4 linked regions of the Medicago truncatula genome follow. The main gene of each other region encodes a partner of the protein of the gene in region 2 in a complex. Links are inferred from orthologs where the notes say so. Each region holds a gene or a part of one and is shown on either strand. Other genes may lie near its edges. The genes, in order: cleavage and polyadenylation specificity factor subunit 3-I, cleavage and polyadenylation specificity factor subunit 1, cleavage and polyadenylation specificity factor subunit 2 and cleavage and polyadenylation specificity factor subunit 3-II.

What was found.
Region 1: cleavage and polyadenylation specificity factor subunit 1 (region 2) and cleavage and polyadenylation specificity factor subunit 3-I share a complex: the UniProt entries of both Arabidopsis thaliana proteins name them as parts of the CPSF complex. The link is inferred for Medicago truncatula from reciprocal best matches to the Arabidopsis thaliana genes CPSF160 and CPSF73-I.
Region 3: cleavage and polyadenylation specificity factor subunit 1 (region 2) and cleavage and polyadenylation specificity factor subunit 2 share a complex: the UniProt entries of both Arabidopsis thaliana proteins name them as parts of the CPSF complex. The link is inferred for Medicago truncatula from reciprocal best matches to the Arabidopsis thaliana genes CPSF160 and CPSF100.
Region 4: cleavage and polyadenylation specificity factor subunit 1 (region 2) and cleavage and polyadenylation specificity factor subunit 3-II share a complex: the UniProt entries of both Arabidopsis thaliana proteins name them as parts of the CPSF complex. The link is inferred for Medicago truncatula from reciprocal best matches to the Arabidopsis thaliana genes CPSF160 and CPSF73-II.

What each region holds. Positions count from the first base shown.
Region 1 is NC_053043.1:495,038-502,945, forward strand, and holds the start of cleavage and polyadenylation specificity factor subunit 3-I, read right to left. Parts: upstream 3,019-7,908; 5' UTR 2,973-3,018; coding exon 2,535-2,972; intron 934-2,534; coding exon 1-933. UniProt on the Arabidopsis thaliana protein: Component of the cleavage and polyadenylation specificity factor (CPSF) complex that play a key role in pre-mRNA 3'-end formation, recognizing the AAUAAA signal sequence and interacting with poly(A) polymerase and other factors to bring about cleavage and poly(A) addition.
Region 2 is NC_053047.1:30,463,870-30,471,452, reverse strand, and holds the start of cleavage and polyadenylation specificity factor subunit 1, read right to left. Parts: upstream 3,024-7,583; 5' UTR 2,869-3,023; coding exon 2,555-2,868; intron 36-2,554; coding exon 1-35. UniProt on the Arabidopsis thaliana protein: CPSF plays a key role in pre-mRNA 3'-end formation, recognizing the AAUAAA signal sequence and interacting with poly(A)polymerase and other factors to bring about cleavage and poly(A) addition.
Region 3 is NC_053042.1:20,056,169-20,063,578, forward strand, and holds the start of cleavage and polyadenylation specificity factor subunit 2, read left to right. Parts: upstream 1-4,387; 5' UTR 4,388-4,567; intron 4,568-6,210; 5' UTR 6,211-6,223; coding exon 6,224-6,638; intron 6,639-6,715; coding exon 6,716-6,842; intron 6,843-6,930; coding exon 6,931-7,046; intron 7,047-7,273; coding exon 7,274-7,368; intron 7,369-7,410. UniProt on the Arabidopsis thaliana protein: CPSF plays a key role in pre-mRNA 3'-end formation, recognizing the AAUAAA signal sequence and interacting with poly(A)polymerase and other factors to bring about cleavage and poly(A) addition. Required for antisense-RNA-mediated gene silencing.
Region 4 is NC_053042.1:11,552,172-11,559,001, forward strand, and holds the start of cleavage and polyadenylation specificity factor subunit 3-II, read right to left. Parts: upstream 3,004-6,830; 5' UTR 2,846-3,003; coding exon 2,821-2,845; intron 2,758-2,820; exon of another isoform or gene 2,739-2,757; coding exon 2,561-2,738; intron 2,469-2,560; coding exon 2,396-2,468; intron 1,122-2,395; coding exon 1,004-1,121; intron 556-1,003; coding exon 482-555; intron 1-481. UniProt on the Arabidopsis thaliana protein: Component of the cleavage and polyadenylation specificity factor (CPSF) complex that play a key role in pre-mRNA 3'-end formation, recognizing the AAUAAA signal sequence and interacting with poly(A) polymerase and other factors to bring about cleavage and poly(A) addition.

The sequences.
Region 1 (7,908 bases), on a different chromosome or scaffold from region 2:
CTGGCAGTTTTTTGGAGTGAGGATCTTGGTGTTACGATCAGCAAACTGAGTCATGAGCTTCTGCTTGAGCCTCCCCATCTCATTAGCTGCCCCGTGGACAAGAATTATGTTAGGCGGATTGAGCTCTTCCAAGAATGCACTTGTTTGAGCAGAGTCAGCATGAGCAGAAAAGGAAATGTAGTGCACCTGCATGTGGAGAGGTGCAGAGAGTCCGTTCATCAGAGTAACTTCCTTTGGTTCATTGAGGATGGTTTTTGCCAGTGTCCCCTCAACAACATATCCAGGTATAACACAAGAATTTTTCTTGTCAGAGCACCACATATCAAATAATTGTCGCGACAACCCACTCTGAAGTCCACCAGGGCTCGCCATCACAACAGATGGTCCTACGTCTTTAAAAATATCAATGCTACTCAAAGCTGATATGTGCTTAAAGGCAAATGGATTTGACTTTGCATTCTGAATCCTGTCATTCATTGAAAGGGTGTAAGTCTCGTAAACAGTCAAACATTTTTTTGCAAGAGGAGAAGCATAATAGATGGGTATATTCTGGAGCTCCGGATGATTTGCCCAATACTCATCAAGGATCAACAGTAGCTCTTGCGCACGACCGAGGGCATAAGCTGGAATCAACACACGGCCCCCTTGAGATATGGTCGAATGAATAACATCAGTAAAGCGTTTTTCTCGGGTGTGGCGAGGCTGATGGTGTTGTACACCATAGGTGGATTCTATAATGCAGACATCAGGGGAGAACTGTGGGGTCTCTGCAGCTCGAAGATGTCTGTCTTCCTCGCGTGAATAGTCTCCTGTATACAGCACTCGAACACCAGCAATGTCAACCATAAACATAGCAGCACCAAGGACATGGCCTGCAGTGTAACACCAGAATCTGATACCGTTCACTTCAACCGTTTGATGGAAATCAATAACCTGCAGTCACCAATTACTACTACTGTTAACATGTATGTTCAAACTAAGAGCAAAAAACAGACATTACAATAACTATTGTTCAAAAACTAAAATAAAACCCTAAATTCAACGGCAATTGAAGAAAACTGCGTATGATGCATTGGTTTGGGAATAGATTGTTGAACACTTGATATTGTGCAGTTGTGTGGTTTTTCAGACAATGAACAAAAGTTACATAAATGCACTCGCTTGATGGGGCTACATGATAATTAGAAACATGTAGAAGTATACCAATAACAGAAAGAAATTGCAGAACATTTGATTTATCCGTTGCAATTCTGGAAATGGTAATAAAGAGACATAAGATAAATTTTTGCAGGTTGTAGGACTTTATACAGGAGAAGACATATTGAACCATAAAAGTTTATGTCTTTATTGTCACATGTGTAATAAATAATTTTGTGTTGTGATAATTTAAGCTTTTTCCAGCTCATTCAAGCCTATCTCCGCGCCAAAAAAACTACAAGTATATGTGTCATTGTCTCTTCTACAATGATCATTTTCTAGATTGTAGATGTACTTTATTCAGGTAATTTGAGGAGCAACATTGTATATCTCACTGCATATTTGCATATATTGGGGGGAAAAACACCATGGAATAAACATTTCACAATACTTAATAATAATTCTGATGCAACACATTACATCTCCGCAGCAATATCAGTACTAATTGTATTTCTTTAAGGTTTGCACTTAGATTCTGTCTCTAGAAATGCAACTCTATCATCACCACAACTCACTCTGGTTAGGTACTTGTTTAATATACAAAAAAATAATGAAAAATTACATAATATAAGATGGACTAAACATAATTTTAAAACCAATCTCATAACTCATGCACATATATTTTACACGTTTCTATTGATCAATGTATTATATTTGTAGGAGCTGGTTAGCTATGTAATTCGTAGTAGGAACTTGCAGTCACCAATTAGTACTACTGTTAACACATACTTATATTCAAAATTAGAAGCTAAAAAACAAAACATACACAATCTTACTTGTGTATTTTAACAGAGATTACAATAACTACTTTCACATATGCACTACCCTAAAAGTCATTAACCATGATTACTCGTTATTGATAACTTTTAAAATGTAGTAAAGTACTATGCTTAACTTTCACAAATTTATCCATGATTACGGTGAATAACTATTTCAAATAACCACCAAAGAAAAGATGCATTTTAAAATTAAAGCAGAATTGTAGAAATTGTAGAGGTATATAATTGGTTTTGACATGTTTGGTTCCTCTAAAGTAGAATTGTCTTTGGCTCCAAATTTGATTCTACTTGAGGCTAGAAATTGTAGCTTCTAATTCATACAGTCAAATTTATTGCTCAACTCACCTTAAGATACAAATATCAAAACATAAATCACTTTACCTTCAAATCAACTTTAGCCGGAATCAATTCACTCAAAATAAAATTTTAACACCGCATAACCAAACATAGACATTATCATAATAACAAAATAAAACCCTATATTCCATAAATTCAAAATCAAAACCAAAATTCATAAACATAATTAAATCATAAAAAGAGCGGACAAAGGAACCTAACCTCAATTTTATCCATGGAGCGATTAATATCTTGTTCATCATAAAGCATATCATCAACAGAAACCTTACTGACTTTAACATAATCAGACAAAAGAAGCTTATAAATTGCTTTCGTAGCGTAAGTCATGAAAACTCTCCCTTTGAAAGTAGTCTTCTCGAGAAAATAAGGAAGAGAAGCGGCGTGATCCAAATGAAAATGAGTAATGAGAAGAACGTCGACAGTTGAAGGATCGATTTCATCGAAGTAAGGAAGCGCCGCCATGCCGGAGTAACCAGGATGAATACCGCAATCGAATAAAACGGTTTTTCCTTTGTAGGTCATGTAAACGCATGATCTACCTACTTCGTTTCCAGCTCCTAATGGTGTTACTATCAATTGATCTTCGGTTTCTCTGTTAATGGTACCACCGTTTGATTCGCGTTTCTTTACTGAACTCATTTTGATTTTTGATTCTGATTTGGATTTGGATAAACCCTATTTGGAGTAAGAAAGGTGAGTGTAGACGACGTCGTTTGATGCAACAAAAATTAAAAAAGATAAAGATAGTTGAAAAAGAATTAAATTATGCGAGCGACCACAGTGGGAGTCGAACCCACGACCTTCTGATCCGAAGTCAGACGCGCTAATCCACTGCGCTATGCGGTCCTTGATGTTATGTACTTCTTTCGAATATTAATATAAAGTTTGGAACTAATGTTGCCACATGAAATAAGAATAAAACCTGTATTATTTTCCTTAATTTTATAATTTGCTCTCAATTAAGTTCTTGACTTTATGAATATTTCAAAAGGTTCTTGAATCTTTTAAATTTTAGTCACATTAGTCCTTCAAAGATTATGTTAGGAACTAAATTGATAATAAATGGATAAACTTAGAGATTAAATTGATAGTAAATGGTTAAATATATGAACTGGTTTGAGAGTTTAATAGAGTCGGAGATCATTTTAAAATATTCATTAAGTTAAAGACTTATAAAATAGTGTTCTACAACGTTAGGAATAATTTGATGGTTTATTTATTACTTTTGTGATTTGAGAAAACGGAGCATATTGTATACCATCCATGGCATGAGAATTTAATATTCCTTAAAAATACCATATATAAAAATATTGTAATAAAAATTCTTAAAAATTAAATTTTATTTCGTCGAAATTTTTGGTATATAAAATTTAATTATCTTAGTTGTCAATGATAGAAAATAATTATTTTTCTTCAAAAAACAACTAATTTATTATTAATTTTACGACTTGGTGTACCGATACACCCAAATTTATTGGGTGTACCATAGAATTTGCCCCAACTCAATTGTGTTTACAAAAATATTTATGAAAAATCAAGATTATAAGCATTTTTCCCAGTTGATTTTTTAACACCCCACATAGCGAAAAAGAAAAGTTAAATACTACAATTGCAAAGAATACTACAAGCTATTGGAGTATTTATTTTTTAATAAGGTATCAAATGCATACGAATATTCATGAAAAATTAAGAGGCTACTACGTATATATTGGTAATATTGAATCACAGATTTGGTCATCTAATAATTGTTTATATGAAAATGGTTGTGTAAAAAAACCTCATTTCATAAAAGATTATTTTGGAAATTCAATTTCCCAAGTAGTTATGAAGTTTTTCTACACGAAGAAATCAAAAGATGTCATCAAAAATTAAAAACACCCAAAACATATGTCTAAAGAGGTACGACTATATATACATCCACACACATACTATTCTTCTCCACTGAACATTTAAATTCCAAGCATAAAGAAATCAACCACAATTATCACATAATTGGTTCCAAAACGTATTCCCCCTGTTGTGTAGCCACCTTCTTCCTTTTTTCCCTCGCTCCTTAATCCTCTTCATTTCATTTACAGGTCAGTTAAATGGTTTCTTGCCAAAGTCCAATTGTCACATAATAATCCATTGCCCCTTATTTGTGACTGCACCTCCTTGTTTGCTTATTCACACCAACCCATGATTTAAAGGCAAGTGGCACATAAATAAAATTTATAGAAGCACAATTAAGTTTTATTTCTTTGCTCCTATGACTACTAACTATAATAATAATAATAAAATAAACTAATTGACTCAATTAATAAATAAAATCATAATTTATTTAAAATGACTCTAAATGAAATACTAAACTAATAAAATATACTAAAAACTTAATTAAAAAGACTCCAAAAATGTGATATGGCGGACTATCATCAGCAACCTGAATAGAATTCGGCCATGTCGCACACCATTTATCAGACAACAAGAAACGAAAATCGTCATTAAGTGTAAGAGTAACTTTCCACCATTTATCAGACAAAATTAATACATGAACAAAAAAAGAATATAATACAACGTAAATATTATTGGCTACAAGGACTGAGTTCGATGCTCTAAGTGCTTTTTGTATTAAACAAAATCATCATTAAGTGTAAGAGGAACTTTCCACTAAAGCCCATTATACGGAAAACCCCAAAAGGCCCTTACTCAAATCCTTTTAAATAGCAGCGTGAAATCACAATTAGTTGGAAAACCCTTCTTACTCAGTACCTTAGTTTTCGCCCGGTATCGCAAAACTATTAACTGAGAATCCAATTTTTAGGGTAGCCGGAAAAACATTAGAACCATACTAAAAATTATCCTGTTTCTCGGAGTCCATTATCACAACCCTTACTCAACCGTCGGAAAACCTTTACGCAAAACTCGTCGTCTGAAACCCCCACACCGTTATCTCAAAAGTACAAAACTAGTCAATGAAGATGGAAATAAAAGCATAAGCACAAAACCGACAACGGGTCACTGGTATTCCCTCCGAGGAAGAGGAAAAGGAAAAACACATAAAGGAGAAGGAGAAGCTGCTTCTGGAGAAGGAAAATGCAAAGGCAAAGCAAAAGGAAAAGATAAAACCCGTCGACAATCAATGGACACTCAACCAGAAAAGTTTTAAAACCAAAATTCTTTTATAAAATCAAAACTGACGCCATCCGGACCCAAACTTTTAAACCTGTCACAATCCCAAATAGCTTGCTTCACCTCCACCGGTGAAAACAATTTTATTAGAGACCCTGCTTCCGCACCTGACAACTGACGAAACTGAAGACCACCCACTCCTGGCCAACGAGCACTTAGCAATTTGAAATTAGTCAAAAAATGAGTAATGATAGATGACCGAACATTATTCGCACCTTCAACATTTGCACCGTCCACCAACACCATGTTAATGGTATTATGACGTTTCCTACCGGACATAACTCCATGAATTTTTTTTGAGTTAGCATCACCCTCCTTTAACCAATTCATCCGTGATTTTTGCCAATTAATAATATTTTGAACCTTTTCCATAGAATGTAGATTAACAAACAAGTCATGTAGCTCCTTCAACTCATCTTCAGGTAATGCTGACAACTCTGCTTTCGAATCTAAAGTGGATATCTGATTTTTGACTGCCATAATCTTGCTGTCCAAATTCTTTACGTGTTGCTGGTGCCAATCCTTCAGACTAAATTTCAACATTTTCAGCTTCTCTTTCAATACATGGCCGCCCCATCCTTGACACTGAAAAGAACCCCATTTTTCTCGGACAAAATCACCATACCCTAGAAATTTCGACCAACATTTAAGCATCCGAAGCGGCCGAGGTCCCCAATTAGCTTCTTCAGTTATTAACATCAAAGGAACATGATCAGATAAGCCCCGTTGATAGGCAACTGACAATTGGACTTTGGCCAAGAAACCATTTAGCTGACCCGTAAATGGAATGGAGAGGATTAAGGAGCCAGGGAAAAAAGGAAGAAGGTGGCGCTACACAACAGGAAGGGGGGAATACGTTTTGGAACCAAAGAACAGGTAGCACACTTTTGAAGATTTCTGGGTTTTAGAGAAAGATGGCATTTCTAGAGAGAAACACAAATCAAGGTGTTAGGAGTAGATTCTACCCAAGATTTGTTGAGACATCATGAGTTTTAGTCTCTATGGAGACGATATACAATACTTACTTTTGATTGATAGAAAAATACTACATCAAAATGAAAGTGTGCTACCTGTTCTTTGGTTCCAAAACGTATTCCTCCCTTCCTGCTGTGTAGCGCCACCTTCTTCCTTTTTTCCTTGGCTCCTTAATCCTCTTCATTTCATTTACGGATCAGCTAAATGGTTTCTTGCCAAAGTCCAATTGTCGCATAATAATCCATTGCCCCTTATTTGTGGCTGCACCTCCTTGTTTGCTTATTCACACCAACCCATGATATAAAGGCAAGTGGCACATAAATAAAATCTATAGAAGCACAATTAAGTTTTATTTCTTTGCTCCTATGACTACTAACTATAATAATAATAAAATAAACTAATTGACTCAATTAATAAATAAAACTATAATTTATTTAAAATGAATCTAAGTGAAATACTAAACTAATAAAATATACTAAAAACTTAATTAAAAAGACTCCAAAAATGTGATATGACGGACTGTCATCAGCAACCTGAATAGAATTCGACCATGTCGCACACCATTTATCAGACAATAAGAAACGAAAATCATCATTAAGTATAAGAGGAACTTTCCACCATTTATCAGAAAAAATTAATACATGAACAAAAAAAATTAATACAACGTAAACATTATTTGCTACAAGGACTGAGTTCGATGCTCCAAGTGCTTTTGTATTAAACAAAATCGTCATTAAGTGTAAGAGGAACTTTCCACTAAAGCCCATTATAAGGAAAACCCCAAAAGGCCCTTACTCAAATCCTTTTAAATAGCAACGTGAAATCACAATTAGTTGGAAAACCCTGCTTACTCAGTACCTTAGTTTTCGGTATCGCAAAACTATTAACTGAGAATCCAATTTCTAGGGCAGCTGGAAAAACATCATGACCATACTAAAAAGGGTTAATGGTGCTTTACCCCCCTGTAATATAGGTCATTTTTTGTTTCCCCCCTGTAAAATATTTTTTTTGATTTACCCCCCTGTAATTTTTTTTTTTGAATACCCCCATAATAGGTCATAAAAAAACGACTTTTTTTTTTTTTGCAGAATTTTTTCGTTCTTTTATGACCTATTAGGGGGGTATTCCAAATTTTTTTTTTTTTTTACAGGGGGTAAATCAAAAAAAATATTTTACAGGGGGAAAACAAAAAATGACCTATATTACAGGGGGGTAAAACACCATTAACTCTACTAAAAATTATCCTGTTTCTCGGAGTCCATTATCACAACCCTTACTCAACCTTCGGAAAACCTTTACGCAAAACTCGCCATCTGAAACCCCCACACCGTTATCTCAGAAGTACAAAACCGATCAAGGAAGATGGAAATAAAAGCATAAGCACAGCAATAGAAGAGGGGAAGGAAAGCACAAAACTGACAACGGGTCACTC
Region 2 (7,583 bases):
TTAACACAGCCACACTTTCAACATTGCCATGCAACCTGAATCGCAAGCATAAAACCAGGACTGAGATAGATGCCCAAATCAACCACTCAATTCACCAGGGAAACCAACAAAACCATACCAAGCTAAATTTCGAAGTCCAAACAACAATTTACACTTGTGAAGTTATTCAATTGCATAAATAATCAATTTGGATAGAAGTGCTCTTTGTCAAATCTTACTTTTTGAGATAAAAGTTTCCACACGTAAATCACTTAAATTTTAACCAAAATTTTTTTGCAAAATCAAGCTGACGTTCAACAACAACAACAACAACAACAACAACAACAACAATAATAATAATAATAATAATAATAATAAAGAGGGGTGGGGGGGTAGCTCAACTAGTTTGAGCTAAGGGTTAAGGAGTTGGAGGTCTAAGGTTCAAACCAGGACGAAGGAGAAAAAACTAATTACTAACATTTGCCATTCAAAGTAATTATAATAATAATAATAATAATAATAATAATAGTAACAACAACAACAACAACAATTAACATGCCAAAAGTCTAAATTGTGAATTAAGATTAATACGTTCACAAAAAGAATACTAAGACTAAGAGCAATCATATCCTTACAAAAATAATATCAAGACAAGAAGATGAATCCTTTGTCTTATAACAATTAGTTAATCCTATTATAGTGAAAAAAATTCTAAGAGGCATCATTATTTTGCTGTTTGTCTCCAAAAGTAAAAGATCTAAGCTAGGGTTCAAACCCGTAGCCTCCTTGATCATCATAGAAAAACATAGCCACTAGTTCTGGTCAATCAAGTAACAAATTAACAACTTCAAGAAAATATTCATATGGTAATCCAAATGCATTGTTAGTATATATTCTTCCACAAATGCATCTCCTTGACTTTTTTATAATATATATATATATATTCTTTTCTATGTTACGAGTGCCTGAGAAAGCTAAGGGCAGGTGTCAGCTCAAGATGTCCAAGCTGAAAAAATCATACTTTAATTTGGACACCGTAATAATAGGTGTCTAACACGTGTCAAAAATCATACTTCCACGCATTTCAACAGCATGATATCCAATGTACCCTCTTAACCAACCATTCTCTCATTCAAATAATTCTATTGAATCACCCATTTCTTCCCTAAATACACTAAAGTCACCAAATTTGAAAGGTATACAATCCATTTTTCCACACCAAAACAATTTCTCGTTCAGAAATTCAGATTTGAAAAATCGAAGTAAAGCAACAGAGAAGCAAAGCCGGTTTGATACAAAAAAATTTGTTGTGAAAAAATCACCTTTTTAAACAAAATAATAGTAACCGAAGCAGAGAAAGAGTAAGGCGAAAGCTCCTCCTTTACTAAAAAATCAATAAAAATTAATCTTGATTCTCTAAATATTTAAAAAATATAATCCGTAACAAACGGCCCTAAAATTATGCATATTTCTACAACATAATGGCTAATATACCCTACCAAAACAAAAAACAAAACACCAAAACAATTGCACATTCTCATTTACAGATTCAAAAAATCAAAACAGAGCAAGAGCGAGGCGAAACCAGTAAAGATAGAAGAGCTCAAGTAAGCCAGCTTATAAGTTATCCCCTATTTTTTTACCAAATATAGCCAAAATAGGACTTATACTTCGGACAGAGGAAGAACTAACGTGGCTTATACTTCGGACAGAGGAAGTACTCAATTTCATATGCCTAATCAAAACAAAGCTATATAATGACCACTAACTACAGAAATTCCACATATTTCTACAACATGATGGCCAATGTACCCTAACAAAACAACCAATAGCACGATACAGGAAACACCAAATAAGAAGCTATTTTCCGTAGCTCCTCCATAAAATCATTTTTTATAATTGTATATCAAAATCACTTTTTTTATAATCCGTAACAAACTTCCCTAAAATTCCACATACACTTTTTTTTTCTACAACATGATAGCCAGCATACCCTGCCAAAATAAACCATTTGCACAACACGAAAACAATTTCTCGTTCTCGTTTTCAGATTTAATTATTGAAGCAGAAAAGCTAAAATAAAGTTCAATTGTTTTCATATAAGCTCTTTTCATAAGCTAAACTAAAAGTTCAACTATTTTAGTAGTTTTTCAGAAAAATCATTTTCTAATAACTGATTTTTATTTTATAATAATTCTCATTCTGTCAAACAAACACAAGGCTTATTCTCAAAACAGACAATTTCTTATTCTCAAATCCAAATTTCTACTAATTAACTCTTAACTAGTCTAACTATATTCTATATCCTAACAAATTCTCATTTTCAGATTCAAAAAATTGAAGCAGAAAATTGAGTAGTAAAATCACTTTTTTTACTAATCTCTAAATTATCAAGAATCAAAATCACTTTTTTCCAATCGGTAACAAACTCACATTCAAGAAATGAAGACAGAATATTGAAACACATCAACAAATTCACATTCAAAATCACTTTATTTTTCCCAAACCAATTCACATTCGAAAAATCGAATCAGAGCAACATTCAAAAAATCAAAACAGAAAATCGAATCAAAACCTGTAATGACAAACGAGTTCAAGATTGGCACCATTCACCCCATCAAGAACCCTAGAATCCGCATTCAACTTCCCCTTTGCCACATCATGTTGAATTCTCACGACATAAACCTCAAGCACATTCGCGGCAGTAACGACAAGATTCGGAAATGTCGCAACGTCGCGTTGCGGGGCCCAATCGGAGGCGTCAAGGTCATCGGAATCAGGAGGAGGGATACGAGGAGTGAAATCGGAGCGGGAGTGGGTTAAGTAACCGGAAGCGCAGTTGTCGATTCCGGTTGGGTGTTGCATCATTTTGTATGCGGCGAAACTCATGGTGGGGGTGTGGGTTGGAAAAGTGGGGGTTTGATTTGAGGTTGAATGGGGAGAGAGTGAGGTTGAAGGGTGGATTAGGGTTTTGGGTTTTGAGTTTGGCGGGAGGGGTGGTGTTTGTTCAGTGTGTTAGTCACTGTGCTATTCTCGAGTGTAGTAGTTGTAAGCTTAATTACCTTTTTATCATCCATGAACCATAATAGTTACCAATAATAGTTGTCAATAATATCAATCACTATTTAATCATAATATCTTAACAAGGCATAGGATCAAAATGATACTAATAAATAAAGTTAGAGGACCCACATAACGCAAACCCTAACGTTTATTTGAATAAAACTAACAGAAATGATTAAATGTAGTAACGATGAGAAACTTAGAGGACCGAAATAAATCAATTTTTAATTAGAGGACTAATCTGATACCAATTAAATAGTTAAAGGACCAAAAAAGGTAATTTAGCCTTTAGAATATGACTATTTAGTTTTTCACAAAATACAATGAATAGAGTGGTTAATACTTCAGAGAGATGGACGGAAAATAAAATTACTTATCATTTTTCAAGAAAATGATAATTAATTTGATAGTTTTTGTTGAAAAAAGAGGTACATTTATTACACCTTATCTTATGTCATGTTACATAGGTTAGAAAAACCCTTATTATTACTCCTTCTGTTTCAAAATACATGTCCAAGTCAACCACTTCACACATGCCAATGCACAATTTTGACCGTTAATATCTTTAATTATCTAATGTAAAAAATTATAAAAATTTAATATTTTGAAAATATTTGTCGAGACAAATCAAATAACATTTTACATTATAATATTTGTATTTATAAACTAGTTTAAAAGTATGGTCAAAGTAAGTCAAATGAATAGTGCACATTGTAAAAATTAAACATGTATTTTGAAATAGAAAGAGTATTAGTTACGGGGGAGAGTGGCAAAGTCCAAGTGGTGACCAAGTTTATAGGTTCTCTCTCACCGTAATAGCCTTTATTAGCGTGAAAATCCTAACCCTAAGAGAAAAACTCAAGGTTGTCTGTCACGTTGTAATCACAACTCAATCTCTTAATTGTTCATCTCAAAACAATTTTCTTAAATCATCAAGCAGTTCATGGCATCTGTTCCTATCAATTTTGGTTTAGTCTAAACTGCCACACCTTCTTCTTGTGGGAACGCTTTGTCTTAGAACGTTGTAGGAAGGTGTATTGTCTTGACATATTTAGATGAAAATAATATGTTATGATATTGAATATGAAATTTCTTGATTTCGATATTTTTTAGGTTTTATTTTTATTTTTATTTTCGTGATTGATAAGTATAAGAATATGTTATTTTCAATTTTGTTAAAATATGTGATTTGATGAATATGTAAAAGTTCATTAATTTTAGTGAACTAGATTGATGACCTGTGCGCCGCACGAGTCTTGTGAGCTAAAATTTAATAGTAGTAGTATAATGCATTCAGTATTGTAACGTTAGGAAAGATAAATGATAATAATATATTTTAGTAGCAATAAGAACACAAATGAATTTGTAGAACATCTGAAAATAAATATGAATATTCGTTGATTGTAAAAATAATTTGGTAATTGAAGTTTAAAAATATTAGGACATCATTGAGAATTTACATTACACGTTTGAAATATTTACTCATAATATATAAATTAACATAATTACTCATAAATTACGAAGTATTTCTCTATAGACTACTTTTGAAGTTATATTAGTATCTTCATCATTTTTATTATTTGTCAGAATCTAGTATATTCGGCGTTTTCATGAGTTGTCAGGATCTTCTTCTTTTGAAGTAACTTTTAAAACTGCAACATATAATTGATAATGTCAAATGTTCTTATTAATAGTCATTTCAAATGAAACAACAAAAGAAACCGTCTCGGTTGAAACTGAAAAGTAAATCTTACGTCAGAATGTGTCAGAGATAACATAAGTACAAAAACTTTGTCGTCAATTTTACTTCCGAATATGAAATTTCCTTCAAGCATATATTTCAGCATCCTTGTTAGAATCAGTACAAAAACTGCGGACCATATAACTTATAAACCAGGAAAAAAAACTACCGCACAGTCACAATTACATAAGCCCCCCAAAACAGTAGAAAATGATAAAAGTTGTTAAAAAAATGGGTCAATTAATAACAAATCCATACATAGAAATCCTTTGAGAAGCTAACGAATCTTGCATGAACTTATTAAGCACAATCTATGGTCAAACAATTTTCTCCTTGCGTTCATTTGATTTGATCATATAACATCCTTGCTTTGACATAGGAAATCTACAAAGATGCCAAAAAAATGTAGTTAAATATCCGTGTATAACATACTCCCTCCGTCCCATAATATAAGCAAAAAAAACACATTTTCTTTGTCCCAAAATATAAGCAAAAAAGACAAACTTTTATCTTTTCCAATATTTTTTTTTGTTATTCTCATAATATTAAATGCAAATTACATTCAATTTTCTTTTTCTTTCATTTTTTCCATAACCAATAGCCAATAAAAATTGTTTTTACATCTTCCTATAAAACTTTTTCCAAAGAAAACACAAAAAACTATACTCCAAATTCTTATGTTTTAGTTTTCTTAATAAGTGTGATTTTTGTTTTTTTGCTTATAATTTGGGACGGAGGGAGTATATACTTAACTCCAAAAAAAACTTATCACATATACAACATTATACTTTAATTAGATTAAGTCAAAAGGCAATTCAATGAATAGTTATGCCATCAAGCCACTTATAGAATGACCTAATTAGTTGACAACAAAAAAATAGCATGACATAATTAGTCTCTACTTGAGCTCCTTTAAGCTGATTTCCCTGAACAAATAGCATAAAATAAACACCAGTTCCATAAAATATGTATACACAACAAATGGACAAAATTTACAATCAAAAACCTCTCAATTCCCTGCAAATTTCCAACATTAAATGCAGATAAACAAAGTTGATAAAAACACAATACGTATTTAAAAAAAGGAACTCCAACCAATGGTACATAATCTCTTATTTCAAAGTAACTTACAATCAACAAACATGGTTCAATGAAATGGATAAAATCAAATATTTGGAGGCAATGAGTCATCGAAATGAACTCAAAAAATGAAGAAGGCACAATTTTCTGCAACACAAAAGGTGAAGGGACATTGAGATTTTGGAAATGAAAACCTGTAGAAAATTTTGGTCATGGTTAGCCAAAAAATTGATGCTGCTATTTTATACTCTTCTATTTTCAAAGTCTCATCTCCTTGAAGTAAACTATTATACTCTCAAAATTCATTTTCCTTCGTTCTCTAGAATACTTACTCTGAATAAATATTTTGTTGTTCTTATTCCCTGGTAAAAGACACACAAATAGTCTTGCTAAATGATGAGTGCCTCAAGTTGCTCTACTGATTCCCATACCTGCATGCTCAAGTAATGTGATTTTTTTTTACCATATTACATAAATCAAAATCTTCAAATTGAAAATCCAAATATATGAAATTGAACAAAAAATAAACATTGTCAAGGCTTGTCTAAAGTTCAATGATTATGTGTACAAATTATATATGAATGAAAGTTCAATGAAATTTGAACTTTCATGCCCATGAATAAAGTTCCAGTTGTGTCTCCCAAACAATTTTTAATGTACATGCATCATATAGTTTATTAATGCTTATATTCTTAGATTTCATATGCAAAACATACAAACATGACTTTGACTATGGAATGACACAAAATGATGTTATAAAAAAATTAAGATAAGTAGTGTTAATATTGCTGGATGACGGAAAACAAATCTAGTGAAAGTAGGATAAAATTATTCTATCAGCATGACATACATCAAAACCAAAACATGTAAAGCTCATGTGAGACAATATTCATCCACCAACCACTAGCAAGCTTAAATATGTAAGATTAATAAAAGAATGTAAAGCAAAGGATATTCTTAATTGGAAACTAAAAATATAACGATAGATTAGAGATGTAACTACAAAGCTGCAAATTAATCAACAACTAATATTAAGTAGGAAAATTACATTTCTCAAGAACAATGAAGCAAAGCAACTATTAGAACTACAATCAAATTCAGCTGATTTTTTCAAATAACCAAAATCCAACGACCTTTGAAAACTAATTGTCATATGCTTATATTTAAGGGTTAATAGTGTTTTACCCCCCTGTAATATAGGTCATTTCCGGTTTTACCCCCTGTAAAATATTTTTTTTGGATTTCGTCCTTGTAATTTGATGATTTTTGGTTTTGGACCTTCATGAATTTTGACAGTACAAAATCAAAGATATGATAGGGGGTAAACCGAAATTTGCTCAAATTAACAGGGGGGTAAACCGAAATTTTCTCAAATTACAAGGGGGTAAACCTAAATTTGCTCAAATTACAGGGAGTGAAATTTTCCATGAAGGTCCAAAACCAAAAAATCTTCAAATTACAAGGATGAAATTCAAAAAAAATATTTTACAGGGGGGAAAACCGGAAATGACCTATATTACAGGGGGGTAAAGCACTATTAACCCTATATTTAAATGGCTTAAATAGATCTTTCGTCCCTGCAAATATAGGTCATTTGAATTTTCGTCTCTGAAGTTACTAATAAATTACTTAACGTGGGGAAATGTACAGTAATTAAATGTAAATGCAGCTGCCTTTTTATTTTGAGTAGTGTGTATTCTTCACAAAAAATAAAATTGAG
Region 3 (7,410 bases), on a different chromosome or scaffold from region 2:
AGAGTTAATCTTGCCTTGAGGAATGTTCTACCACCGGATGCCTCAAACTTGTGTGTGTTGTGTAATTTGAAGGAAGAATCGGCCATACATCTTCTCTTGCACTGCGAAGTGGCGTCTAAGGTGTGGCTAAATATTATGTTGTGGTTGGAGGTCTTGTTCTTAATTCCATCTAATTTCTTTGTGCATTGGGAGTGTTGGAGTGTGGGGAAAGAAATAAAAAAGTAACTAAAGGACTATGGTTAATTTGGCACACAACCATGTGGACTTTGTGGAAAGCGAGAAATGACAAAATCTTTAAGGGTATTAGTAGAGTGGTGGATGACATAGTTGAGGAGATTAAGGTTTTGTCTTGGAGATGGATGTTGAATAGGACGAATAACCCGCCATGCCTTTTCTATGAATGGTGTTGGAATCCAAGATATTGTCTTGCTAGATGATAGTTTGGTCCTTGGGTGCGGTGTATTTCGTGAGGTAGAAGCTTTTGGTTTGGGATTCCTATGCAGGTTGGTTTGTGCAGCTTTTGAGGACTTTGGGTGTGTTTCGGTTTTGGATAGTTTTTGCTGTTACTTGTTGGATTTGTCTTCCACGAGTACTGTGAGGCTTGTGTGCAGTTTTGGCTAGTTGGTTTGTGCGGCTGCCACTTTCAATTTTCTGTTTTCATGTTACTTCGGCATCTTGCTGCTGAAGTATATTGATTGGTGAGGCAGGGGTATGCTTGGGTGTCAGTGCTCTTTGGCTTGTCTGCTTGTATAGCTTTGGTGCGGTGCTAGGAGGTCTGTGCGCTACCTGGTTTTGTGGCAGCAGTGCTGTTGTATGTTTTAACAGCTGGGGCGAGACGTATCAGTTGGCTGGTGGTTGTTTGCTTGCCAGGTTTTGGCTGTTATTAGTAGTTTCGGCGGCCTTTGGTGTTGATGCAGGGGTATGCTTGTGGTCTGTCACTTGTATATGCCTGCGTCATTACTCTTGTGGTGTGTTCCTTAGTTTATGGGTGGTTTTTAAAGGGATTTTTGTTCGAGCCGGAGTTTGTATGGCAACTGATTTCCCCTTCTTTGTATTTTTTCTCCACCCGAGCTTATTAGTGCGTCTTGCACGGGCTTGTTGGTTAATAATATTTTGCCGATTCAAAAAAAAAAAACTCTGCAAACACCTCCTTCATTGTTGTTATTTGTTGGAAGTATAAATTCAATGCAGCTTTTTGTTCTTACTTAACTTACCTTAAAAGTTTTAGGGAACATGCAATAGTCTGTCTATGCACATTTGACAACTTTGCCCATGAATATCTCATGGTTCATTGACAGTACACTCAAACTTTTATCAGCAACCTGTGATGTTGCAATGAAGTCAGCGACAATATATAAATTTTCAGAATGAATGGCACCAGTTATTCCAATAAACTCAAATGAGATTTATAAATTGCATTTTCCCCCTTTATCACATTTAGCAGGCACAAACGAGGTAAAACACTTCAAACATTTTGGCTAGATCCAAACTCAAAACATTATTGATGATATGATGCTATTGTATAAATTAAGCATTGTGTCTTAAGAATGGTTTTTGGGATAAAGAAGGGTTATGAGATTCCTATCTAAGCAGAATTGTCTTTGTATGTACAAGGTGGTTACAAGTTGATGAAAAAAGTTTTTTTAAGTGCAATTAATTTGATAGATTTCGCGTAAAACACAGGTTTACCATAGTTTTTTTAATTGAATTTTTTAATAAATTTCATCAAATAGTGAAATTACTGTTGTATATTAGTGACGTTTTATAGATTTCATGAAATTTTAAAAAATCATTTTTACTAAATTTTGTATCTTTTTTTCTTTCTTTCTTCTAAGCAAAGATGTAGGGACGACATCAAGAGGCAACATAAACGTCCAAACTAGGTTGGTACCCAACTAAAACCTCTATTATCTACCACATACTCTATAAATATTATTAAAAAAAAAAGAGAAAATAATATGTACAAGAGGGGGGGCTAGGCCAAGATCCTCAGAAAGAATAAGCGTGCAACCATGAAACTAAGGAAACCGATAGTTCAACAACTTATACGATCACGGAAAAAATCAGCCAACAAAGACGAAGGCATGGAGTCTAACCAAACAGTACCCACAACCGCATGTCCATACTCAACTAATTTATCTGCACAACAGTTTCCCTCACGATAAATTTGAGAGCATATAGCCTGGAGACCCAAATGAAAACAGTTATGCCAATGGTTCCGAAGACGGAAAGGAACAATATCAGCATTCTTAAAGGCCTGAACCGCAGAAGTCGAATCACTTTCTATCCAAATATTGTGCCAAGAATGAGAAGCCACATATTCCAAAGCAAGAATAATACCTATCAGCTTCGCCTAAAAAGCAGACAAATCACCAAGATTGCTTGCAAAATCACCAAGATTTCTATCCAAATATTGTGATATGATATATGATGATGTTTATACAATGATGATATGACAATGTTGTTGATTTTATTTGTCGAGTCATGATGTGATGTTCATGCATTCATGGTCTGTCCTATTTGACGACGAATATTTGACGATGAGTGGATTAATCAGTAATATGCTTATGATTATCCAAATATTTGACGATGAGGTATCACTCAAATACATACCTCTGATATTCAAAAACGGTACCACATGCATATAGAGTCAAGTTAGGGACATTACATGTGAGTCTATGCGAAAGATGTGTACTTGACTATGTGTGACTATTTGAAAAATGTGTGATTCGACAATGGCAATGATGTGTGAATGCAATGTGTTCAACTTGACGATTATTTGATGATGTGATTACATGTTTATAATCTTGTGATGATGATTGAAGTTTGTTATACCGACTTAGTGAATTGTATGAGAACTAATATAATATGAATATACATGTTTATAATCTTGTGATGATGATTGACATTTGCTGCGGGTTGGACGTATAGTTGCTGTGAGTTTTCGAGGATGGCTTTGAAGCATTCTTTTACCGCTTCCTTTTGGAGTCTTGACTAGTGGTGCTCTTATTAGGACTGTTGGGATTTTATTTATGTTATTAGATTATGTTTTGAGGATGTATTTTTCGATGTGACGTGTTATTTACATGATGAACTATGTATGGATTGTAACGAAGAGTAACACCTTGAAGGACAGAATCAGTATAAATTGATTTGTGTCTTTCTTCTCTCTCTGACTCTTTATCTTTAATCTGCATGTTATTTATTTCCGCTGCATTCAGACTCTGAGTCAGAATATGAAACATCAGATTTTGTCCAGATTTGTTCTTAACACCTTACAAGAAGAAACGACTCACACAATTCAACCCACCTTCTTGTGTGTTTTTCTCACCTTCATGATGTAGATGACAATATTGGAAGAAAAAAAAAAGGATAAAAAAATGGAACAATTTTAAACCATCACATGATAAATTTTGGACCATTTTACCCATTGAAATTTTTTTGGTTAAACTGTAAAAAAAATAAAAATTAGGAGGGGACAGTTATATAAATGAAGAAGTTGTTAGATTGGCTCCGTCTACGATGGGAGACTTGAATAGGTCTTCTAATATAGGAGACATGGTTTTTTTCTTCCTTTAAAATGAATATGAACCATATGATAAGGGTTGGATCAAATTCCTTAATATACATTTCCATCACTCAACTGCTTTCTTTTATTTTAAATTAGTGTATTTATCTGACGTTGTTCGGTTTATACTTATAATTAAGGACGACCAAAATTTTGTATGCAACGTATCTGCATATAAATTTACCACGAGCTGGTATAAGACCAATATCTTAATGAGTAAGCACGAATAAAAAAAAAAATTCATATTTTAAGTACTCGTAAATTTATAGATGCACATGCAGATGATATTTATAGAATTTAGTAAAAACAAAAATTGACACATTGGATTTAGTAAAATTATTAACACATGTAAAATAAAATAAATATTTTTTAAGTTCATGGACTCGTATAAATTTATACTCGTTATTAAATTAGTAAAATTATACGACTGCCGTATTACTTAAATAAAAAACTTCTCGTCATGAAATAAAAATATGTAATTTTGTAACAAAACTTATTTTTCTATCTAGCATAAACATCTCAACAATCCACATCGGCTTCGTCCAAATATTTTATATGTTTGTTTTTATTTCATGAGAAGATTTTTATTTTATATAAAATATAAAAATATTTATTTTATTCAATATGTGTTACAAATATTTTAAAGGAATATGTGTAACCAAAAAAAGAGGAATTGTTGTGACAACCACTTTTCACCTCATTTTATTGGATAAAAACAATAGAAAGAAAGAAGAAGAGAAATAATAAAAATATATGTAAATATAAGAAAGATGTTGTTTCAAAAGTTGTCAAAAAAATAGATGTACAAATATTGTTTCTCAATATTTTATCACCAAGTTGAATTCTCTCGGCTCTTTTTCCATCAGAAACGAGCACTGAACTCAAATAGCCGGAGTTGCTTGTAGCCGCCGGCGATCACATCTCTCACGGCCAAGTCCACCGCTCTATATTCATCTCTCACTCACTCAACCTTCATTTTCGTTTTATTCTTCCAATCAAGTAAGTTCATCGATTTTGATTTTGGGTGATTTTTTTCTTTCTCAAATGCAACTTTTGTTGTTGAGTTAATGTGGATTTTTATGCGTTATTTATGCATTGAAAAGATTAGATTTCATCTATTGGCTTAGGATGAATGAATTTTTGCATGCATTTCACTTGTTGCCTTTTAGGTGTTTGATAAATTGTCCTAAGTGGTGTTATGTGAATCTTTGATAGAGTAGACTGAATTTTTTGTAATCTTGTGTGGCTGTGAAGATAAATACACTAGAATAAAAGAAAGTAATTGAGTGTTGAAGATATATAATAAGTATTTTGATCCAACCCTTATCTAAGCAAAGTGAATTCGGTAATGCTGCGGAATAACACATCGGCTGAGTTCATTTTCGCATTGTTACAAGAACTGTCTCATGCTCAAGCTGAGCTATTTGCTTCGGTATTGTGGAGTTTGTGGAAAAGCCGTAACCTACAACTATGGCAGAATGAAGTAGAGACATTGCAGGCCATTGTTGCACGCGCACAGAAGCTGTTGGTCAACTGGCGTGTAGCAAACAGCAAGCGACAGCAAGGTGGAATGACTGGCAGGTCTGCTGATCCGATTACAGATGTGCAGCAGTCAAAATTTGTGTCCAGCAGTGTGCAGATTGGGCAGAATCGATGGCAGAAACCAATCATGGCAGGCTAAAGTGCAACATTGATGCGTCGTTTTCGGAAGCTTTAAATTGTGTAGGATTTGGATTCTGCATCAGGAATGAATTTGGAGAATTTATTCGAGCAAGAACAATGTGGTCGAATCCTGTTTGTCCGTCGGATGTTGGAGAAGCTTTGGGACTTTCATACGCCATCCGTTGGGTGCATGAACTGCAACTCAATAATGTTGATTTTGAATTGGATGCCAAGACGGTTGTAGATTATTTTAATTGAGGTTGCAATGATATATCCGAGTTTGGAGCAATAATTGACGAGTATCGGAGAAATCGTGATATGTATCTAGAAAACTCCATGGTAGAGTTTAGTCGGAGACAAGCGAATGAGGTCGCTCACACTCTTGCACGAGAGGCCACTTTCTTAGCTAGTCCCCATACTTTTAATGATGTACCTCATTGTATTACGACGTTGATTTTTAATCAAAAGCTATAAGCTATTTTCCTTCAAAAAAAAAAAAGTATTTTGATCCAACCCTTATCCAATGGTTCATATTCATTTAAAAAAAATGTCTCCTACAGCCCTACCGTAAACGGAGCCCATTAGATTTCATATAGCCACACCTGATGATTATTGCCCGATTTTTTAAAAATAAAAGAAAAAAATCAAACGACACTGCATACTCTCTTCTTCTCACTCTCTCTTACAACCAGTGTGTCACCACTAGTCACAGCTAATTCTCTCTCAGTTGTCATTATTCACTCTAAGGTAAGCCAATTGATTTTCCAATTTCTTGTTTTAGTGTTTCAAAATTGGGAATTGGAAATGAAATTTTGTTATGACCAAGTTGTTTGTTAGTTAGAATTGGAATTTCGGAATGTTAAAAAATTGATGCTTTTGTTTCATGTAATTGGATTGGATATCAGCTGTTTGTTCAAATGTCTGAATGCATTTTCCTTTTTGCTTCATATCGGTTTTTATGTTATTATTTTGACACACAGAAGAAGGCAGATCATGGGAACATCAGTGCAAGTAACACCACTTTGTGGAGTTTACAATGAAAACCCTCTCTCTTATTTGGTTTCCATTGATTCTTTCAACATCCTCATCGACTGTGGTTGGAATGACCACTTCGACCCTTCACTCCTTCAACCCCTTTCCAGGGTAGCATCAACTATAGATGCTGTTTTACTTTCACATCCTGATACACTTCACCTTGCCGCCTTACCATATGCCATTAAGCATCTTGGACTTTCTGCTCCTGTTTATTCAACTGAGCCTGTTTATAGATTGGGACTTCTCACTATGTATGACCACTTCCTCTCCAGAAAGCAAGTGTCCGACTTTGATCTCTTCACTCTAGATGATATTGATTCTGCTTTCCAAACTGTAACAAGGCTAACATACTCTCAGAATCATCATCTCTCAGGTAACAATAACATAACACCTTCCTCAATTTATTATGTGTTTGTTACCATCAATGACATTCATTTTAACCAATACTAGGAAAGGGAGAGGGAATCGTCATTGCACCACATACTGCTGGACATCTTTTGGGAGGTACGATATGGAAAATTACAAAGGATGGTGAGGATGTCATATATGCTGTTGATTTCAATCATAGGAAAGAAAGGTAAATTATTTTTTTACTTCTCCAAAATTTAACGTGCATATTCTTAACGACAAGAAAGTAAGCTACTTATCAATCTAATTTTCACTAGGCATTTGAACGGAACTGTTCTAGGTTCTTTTGTTCGCCCGGCTGTTCTAATAACCGATGCTTATAATGCTTTGAATAATCAGCCTTACAGACGTCAAAAGGACAAAGAATTTGGAGGTAACTAACATTTAAATCTTATAATTGCTACACCTTGACAGAAATAAGGTGAATTTTTCATTTTTTGTTTTCTTGAGTTGCTATTAAGAGAAAACTGAAATATTTTTATGCCTGGGATATTCAAAGACAAGGCATGCAAGCATTAAAAAGTCTTCATCACGAAACGAGAAAACTGTCTAGACTATATACTTTGTTTTTTCTGATCATATATCTTGTTGATTATTTAGATATCTTAAAGAAGACTCTAAGGGCAGGTGGCAATGTGTTACTACCTGTTGACACTGCTGGACGAATATTGGAACTTATTCTGATGCTGGAATCGGTCAGTACAAGAAAAGACTTACACTTATATTCTCTCTTTCTC
Region 4 (6,830 bases), on a different chromosome or scaffold from region 2:
ATTAACCTCTTGCAAATACAAGGTAAGATGGCCTCGTATATACCCACATAATGTGTCCAACACTTACCCGAACCTTGCAGATAGGAGTTTCAGAGAACCAAGTTCTCTTCAGCAGTTATGGTATTTGCAGGTGCAAAATCAAAAGATCTCCCAACTGGACTAAATCGGGAAATAAATGTTCAGGACTAGTTTGCATTGCTATTTTTCTTCTGCTATCTAAACTATTTAAAGTTTAAACCCTAATCTTGAATGATACTCGACACGTTCAGTTAGAACTCTGAGAATCCTACCCCTTCCAGACTTTCAACAAGACTCTTTCATCGCATTCTGTTTATGTGATGTATGGTTTCTGATTTGACAATTTTTTCAGCATCTAATACTCACAAGAACTCCTATGGTGAGAAAATAACCAAAATACCAGGTGTTAAATCTATTACTGCAAAGGAAATACGAGTTCATTGATGAAGTTCACAAGCCTTACATGTCCTGCATAATATGCACGTATCTGCAGGTCTTCATCTACTTGCACAGTCTGCTTCAAATCTACGGCAATAACTGTTTACAGGAATCAAATCAAATTAGAACAAGTATAATCAAGATATAAAATTGAGATGCTAATGTCAGAGGTGTGGTGATTTTGGGTGGGAAACTGATGTGTTCAAAAGTTTAAAACACACACCAAACTACTGATTGAGCATAGCAGAATCTTCTTTAAAATTCACACAAAAATGTAAACCGTGTAATCCTAGTTTCTCTCTCCCGACATAAACAATTACGAAGAAGAAAAAAAACTGAAATGACATTTATAGACCAGAAAAATAATATTTATCCTACATTAAAATCCTTGTGCACAGTAGCTACATAGAATTCTAACTTAAACATGGTCATAAGCAACTATGCCAGCCACAGTATACATCATGTATCTTGCATTCCTAGGTAACATGTCTTATCTAACTCAAACCAACATATAGATACTGCAAAGGAAAAGAGAATCCTATTTTACCTTTCTTCATGCACTCAGCAATATGATCAGAAGTGAATTGTTCTTCCTCACCCCGACGATCAACCATCACTTTTCGATAATCTTCCAACATCAGAGGAGACAAAGCTTTTGTTGGGTACTGCTTAAAATCAAATACAAGTCAAGCTAAATTTATTATCGTGGAATCACAGCCAAAGAGACAGTGCTTAGACATTCAAAGCACCATAAGCAATGACTGGAACGGCGTCCATCAAGCAAAAATTATAACATGATTATATGCATATGTAGTTGAAATCATCCAACAAATGTTAAAGTACAACAACAACCACAATTAACCACCAACGTTTTTCTGCCCGTTATTTCCTTCCTTGGATAAGTTTGAAATTTAATCAAGAATACCCTTCTCTACGAGATACTTTCCTATTTAATTAATTTAAGGGTTTCTTTAACCTGTTAAACTTAGCATTACTTTTTACTTTTTTCGATCCAAAGCCGCACGTTCAGGAAACATTGCATAAAGGTTTCGCATTCTTTTCTCATGCCAAAAATGTCCAACAAAGGCTACATTTAGTTTATTTTCTGTTTTCATTTCCATTATATTTGATTTTACTAATACAAATAATTACAAGACACTAATAAGGGATTATTTTGTTAATTTTAACATCTCCTTTCACACAATCATCAAAACATACAAAGAACAAAGTCTTACTTTCATGACAATTAGTAAACAACAATATTATTTACAAAAAAAATAAAAATAAAAAAATAAGTAATTAGCAACTAACTTGAAATCAAAAACAAAGATTGCATAACAGTACATGCATTCCACCAAGGGCATGCCTGGATTAGCTTATTTGAGTTTATCCACAACAAAAGCACTGCTGTGATTATTTTATTTGATAGAGCTTATGGAAACAACTTATGACATATCCATAAACTATTTTCCTAAGCTCTACATGATAGCTTGAAACCAATTTGTAGTTTATATAAAAACAATTTGATTTGATTTTATCTTTTGCTATAAAAATAGCTTATACCTAAACACTTAAATGATTAATTAAGTTGTTTATCCAAACATGGCCCAAGTTGAGTAACATCTAAGAACTTTTAGTACAAAAAAGCATTTTACTTATCAAAAACATATCAACCAAAAATAATAATAAAAATAAATCAACAACACATCATATAGTGTCAAACGAGAAGTGTCGGGAACACTCTCTTTCCAACGCTCACTATTTTATCAGGTGAAATCAATGTGGGTCTCACACTTAAGACATGGGAGCCGCATAAAATGGTGGGTCTTATATTGATTTCATCGAATAAAAGAGAGTATTAGAGCAAGCATTGAAAAGAGAGTGTTCATAGCATTACATTGAGTTAGACATTTCATCAAACAGGTAATAGGCGACCCACCGTCATATAAACCGGTCCACTATACCCACAAACTTCAGTGAAGTAAGCCAATGCTCCAACATGATCCAAGTGACTGCACCAACATCAATAACAACAACGTCAAAAAATAATTAAAAAAAACTATACATTAAAAAAAATAAATGAACAAATGAATGATGAATTTACAAATGAGTGATGATAATGCAGTCAAGAGCATCATTGAAATTTCCAGAATCTGAAATCTTTTTGAAATCCGGATAACGACTGTGATCAGTGTGACGCATATGCATGCCACAATCGAACATGATTCTCTTTCCATTGATTTTAACTATTACACAGCTTTTTCCAACTTCTTGACCAGCACCTGCACACGTTAGTTGAAACTGATAACTGTAAAATGATTCGATTGTAGCATATAGAATGAAGCAAGGAAGGAAAATATATACCTAAAACTAGAACTTCGATTGTCATTGATGATGTAATGGTTGCACAGCACTTGCAGGAGAAGAAGTAGTGCAGTGAGCTATATGCACTCTCTTCAAAAAGTATTCAACCTCCAAACCTGCGTTTTCTTCTCTAAACGTGAGTCTCGTTTTTGCTGTGATATTTTGGATAGAAGAAAACGTGAATCTACACAAACATATTTCTTCTTAAAACAAAGACTCATGTAAATTAATATTATTTTAAAATAAATTTGTGAAGCAATAAAAATCCAATTATGATTTTAGATAAGTTTAAATAATTATCTAAAATAAGAAAGAGATATTTAGTTTTATATATAATAAAAAGGATAATTTGAGTCAAACTATCCAAATTAAATGAACTCATAAGAATCACTTTTAAAATAGTATATTCAAATATAAATCAATTCACATTCAACTCACTTTTAACCAAAATTAATTCTTTCAAACTCAATTTTTATGGACACTATACCAATAAGTACGTGTTTGGTTCCACGTTCCGATGGACTAAACGTACGTTTACAGTGGTTTAAAGTGCTTTTGATGGTTAAAGTAATGTTTGGTTACCCATATCTAAAATCGATTCTCCATCCTAAAATCGATTCTAAGAAAAGCTACTCCTTGTAGCTTCTGGCTTCTGGCCACAATTGATTCTCTAATATAAAGAAAAGATCAAGCATGGTTTGTCTTAATTTCTCACTTTACTCTTTCAAACCCAGTTCAAACTTTGAAAGTTAAAATTCAAAGAAGAGGAGAAAGAAAATTAAAATGTATACTAAAAACCATTGAAAATTTATATAATATAAAAGCAAAGATTTGATTTTTCTACTTGGCTGTGCTAGTGCTCCACTGTCGATGGTGTTTCAGCGCATACCCTTCTCAAGGTTAGGGAAGACGGAAATTTGGAATATATTCTTAGTTTAGATATAATAATAGTCAGGAGACATAGGACAATTTTTTTTTTTTTTGATAACGCTAGAAATTCAAATAAAAGTCAGGAGAAGCCTGAACCGCATACAAACCAATTCAAACAAAACAAAAAACAATCTCAGAACTCAGAAACAAACAGAAAATCTCAGGTCACATCTAATCTAGTGTAAGGTAATCCAAGCCTATCTCTTAACAGAAGGTGGGATATGAAAGGAGGTGGAGAAGGCCACAACTGTGTGTAGTAGTATAGAGAAAGTCCTTGTCCATGCTTAGCAAGTGCATCAGCCACCATGTTTCCCTCCCTAAGGATATGAACACAGAACAAGAAATGTTATGACAAAAATCCCAGCAATTTTGCCACCTAGCTCGCATCTGCCAAGGGACTCCAAAACCTTTATTGAAAGCATTGACAACTTTGAGGGAATCAGTCTCCAAACACAATATGTTTAAAAGTTTAATTAACTTAAAGCAGAAAAGTAATTTTGTTAGTTTTTTTTCTTTTTTTAAAGTTATTTGTTAGCTAATATAATATATAACTTCTTTTTTTTTTTTTTAAGGAATAATATATAACTTAATTACACAGCTTTTTCCAACTTCTTGGCCAGCGCCTGCATATTTGGTTGAAATTGATAACCGTAAAAGAGATTCGATTGTAGCATAAAATGAACGACGGAAAATATATACCTAAAACTAGAGTTTTGATTTTCATTGATGATGTAATGGTTGCACAACACTTGCAGAAGAAGTAGTGCAATGAGTGAGCTATATTACATGCACTTACTTCTTTTTCCTTAACTCGTTCAAAAGTTGCGTTCAAGGGGACCATTCAAATAGGCGTTTAGTTGCAATTGTGATTTACTGTAGTCACAAAGTCAATGAAAAGATAGTCATCCGATCAAATCAATGGTGAAGATACACGGTTTGAAAAGTGAAAACTCAACACTGCATCTCAGGCTACCTCAGTCGCGGCACAACACACAACCACCTTTACCAATGTCAATCTTTGTTGAATATTGCATTCACGAAACAATTAGCCTAGAATTCATTTGAATCAGAGACAAGTGAATCGATTATTGAGAGGGAGAAGAGAGGACTGAAAAGCCGAAAGATTAATTGTCGGAACGGGGATTGAACCATAGTGGAAACCAACAGGTCTGAGAGAGGCGATTTCTAACCGGAATTTGCTGAGTTTGACAACAACGACGTTGCCGTCGGAACTTACCTCAAACAACAATAAAAAATCCTTTAAAAATTTATGTGATGCGGTGTATATAGTGTGAATGCATCGTCGTCAGAGAGGTGGACACAAGGAGAAAGAAAGTATGTTTGAAGATTCCATCGCAGGTGTTTTGACGATATGTGGGTTTTCACTTTTTAGTATCCAGTGTGTTGTTGATTTAGGGTGGAAAAGTTACCAACATAGTTAAGCTCACGAGCACATTAATCAACTAGTAAATGACCCGTGCGAATGCGATAATTATACGAAAAATAATTAGATTGTGAATATTGTAGAATGTTTATAGATATTAAAAGAAAATCATAGGTATTGATGTAATGTTTCTTTTAAATATTTTTTCTTATATATACAAAAATTTGTTAAATAGTTGAGTCACACCAATTATGAATTTTATTTGCTTATATATACAAAAAAACAATTTTTTATGTAAATATATGAAAAAGTTTACATGATAAAATTTTGAAAAACTCATTACTATTTTCAAAATCAAAATTAATGCAGTGTTTCTATTAAATAACTTTTTATTTATATGCAAAAGATTATTCAATATTTGCATCGCACCCGTTGCAGATTTTTTGTACTTATATATGCATAAACAAAGTTTTATATACACATATAAGAAAGTCAATTTGATAAGACTTTGGAAACTTATCACTATTTTCAAAATATCAATATTAATGTAGTGTATTTATTAAGAAAATATATATTTTATATTTAAAACACCATTAAATATTGAAAAACACCGTTAATATTTAAATTGCACTCGTTGAAGATTTTATATACTTATTTATGCACAAGAAAAAATTTATGTATCGATATGTAATAGTTGATATGATAAAATTTTGAAAACAAGTGACTATTTTCAAAATATCAACATTAATGCAATGTTTCTATTAATTAAATTTCTACTTTAAATGAAAAACACCGTTCAATGTATAAACCGCTCTCTTTGCAGATTTTAAATGTTTATATCTGCATAAACAAATTTTATATACATATATGAAAAAGTGTATATGATAAAATATTGAAAACTTATGATTATTTTCAATATATAAAGAGATACATTGAAAAAATAAAGAGATACATAGAGTATTGTGTGCTCAAAAGCTTCTACAAGAGATGTATGCTACTCGTCCTTGTCCCCTAATGTCAACACTTATAATTCTTTTGTGAATCATTTGTTTAAACATAAGCATATTCAGGATGTTAAGACATTGATAAGAACAATGGAGGGCTCATGCAGATGTATTCACACAAAATATCCTAATTAATGGGCTTCTTAAGATTGATAAGTTGAAAGATACGCAATCAGTTCTTGATGATATTTTGATGAGAGAAGGTTTTATGGATGTCATCACCTATAATATAATGATTAATGGCATGTGCAAACTGAATATGTGTGAGGAGGCAATAAATTTGTTCACTAAAATGGAAATAAGGGTTGCAAGACGAATCTTATTACGTTCGAGATACTCATCCATGCTCTATGTGAGAAAAATGAAAACAAAAATGCAACATAACTTCTTTTTTAAATGCGCGCAAGAGGGCAATTGTGCAACTGCATCAGCTCACCCTTGAATTTAAAGTAGGAATTTCGTTTTGAAAAATGTTTAATCAAAATTTATAGTGGAAAACAAAGTTGTGGGCTTATGAAAATTGCCTGAAGTCTTTATCACTAGTCACGTATATTTTGTTTCATTTATTTCTACTTGAAATCTCCATCTTTTCTCTATGACTTTGGATACAATGATGTTGTTTAGTAAGTTGTAGTTTGTTTGTCTTATTAAAAAAAAATTGCACATCATAGTATGCAACATGGTGTCATGAT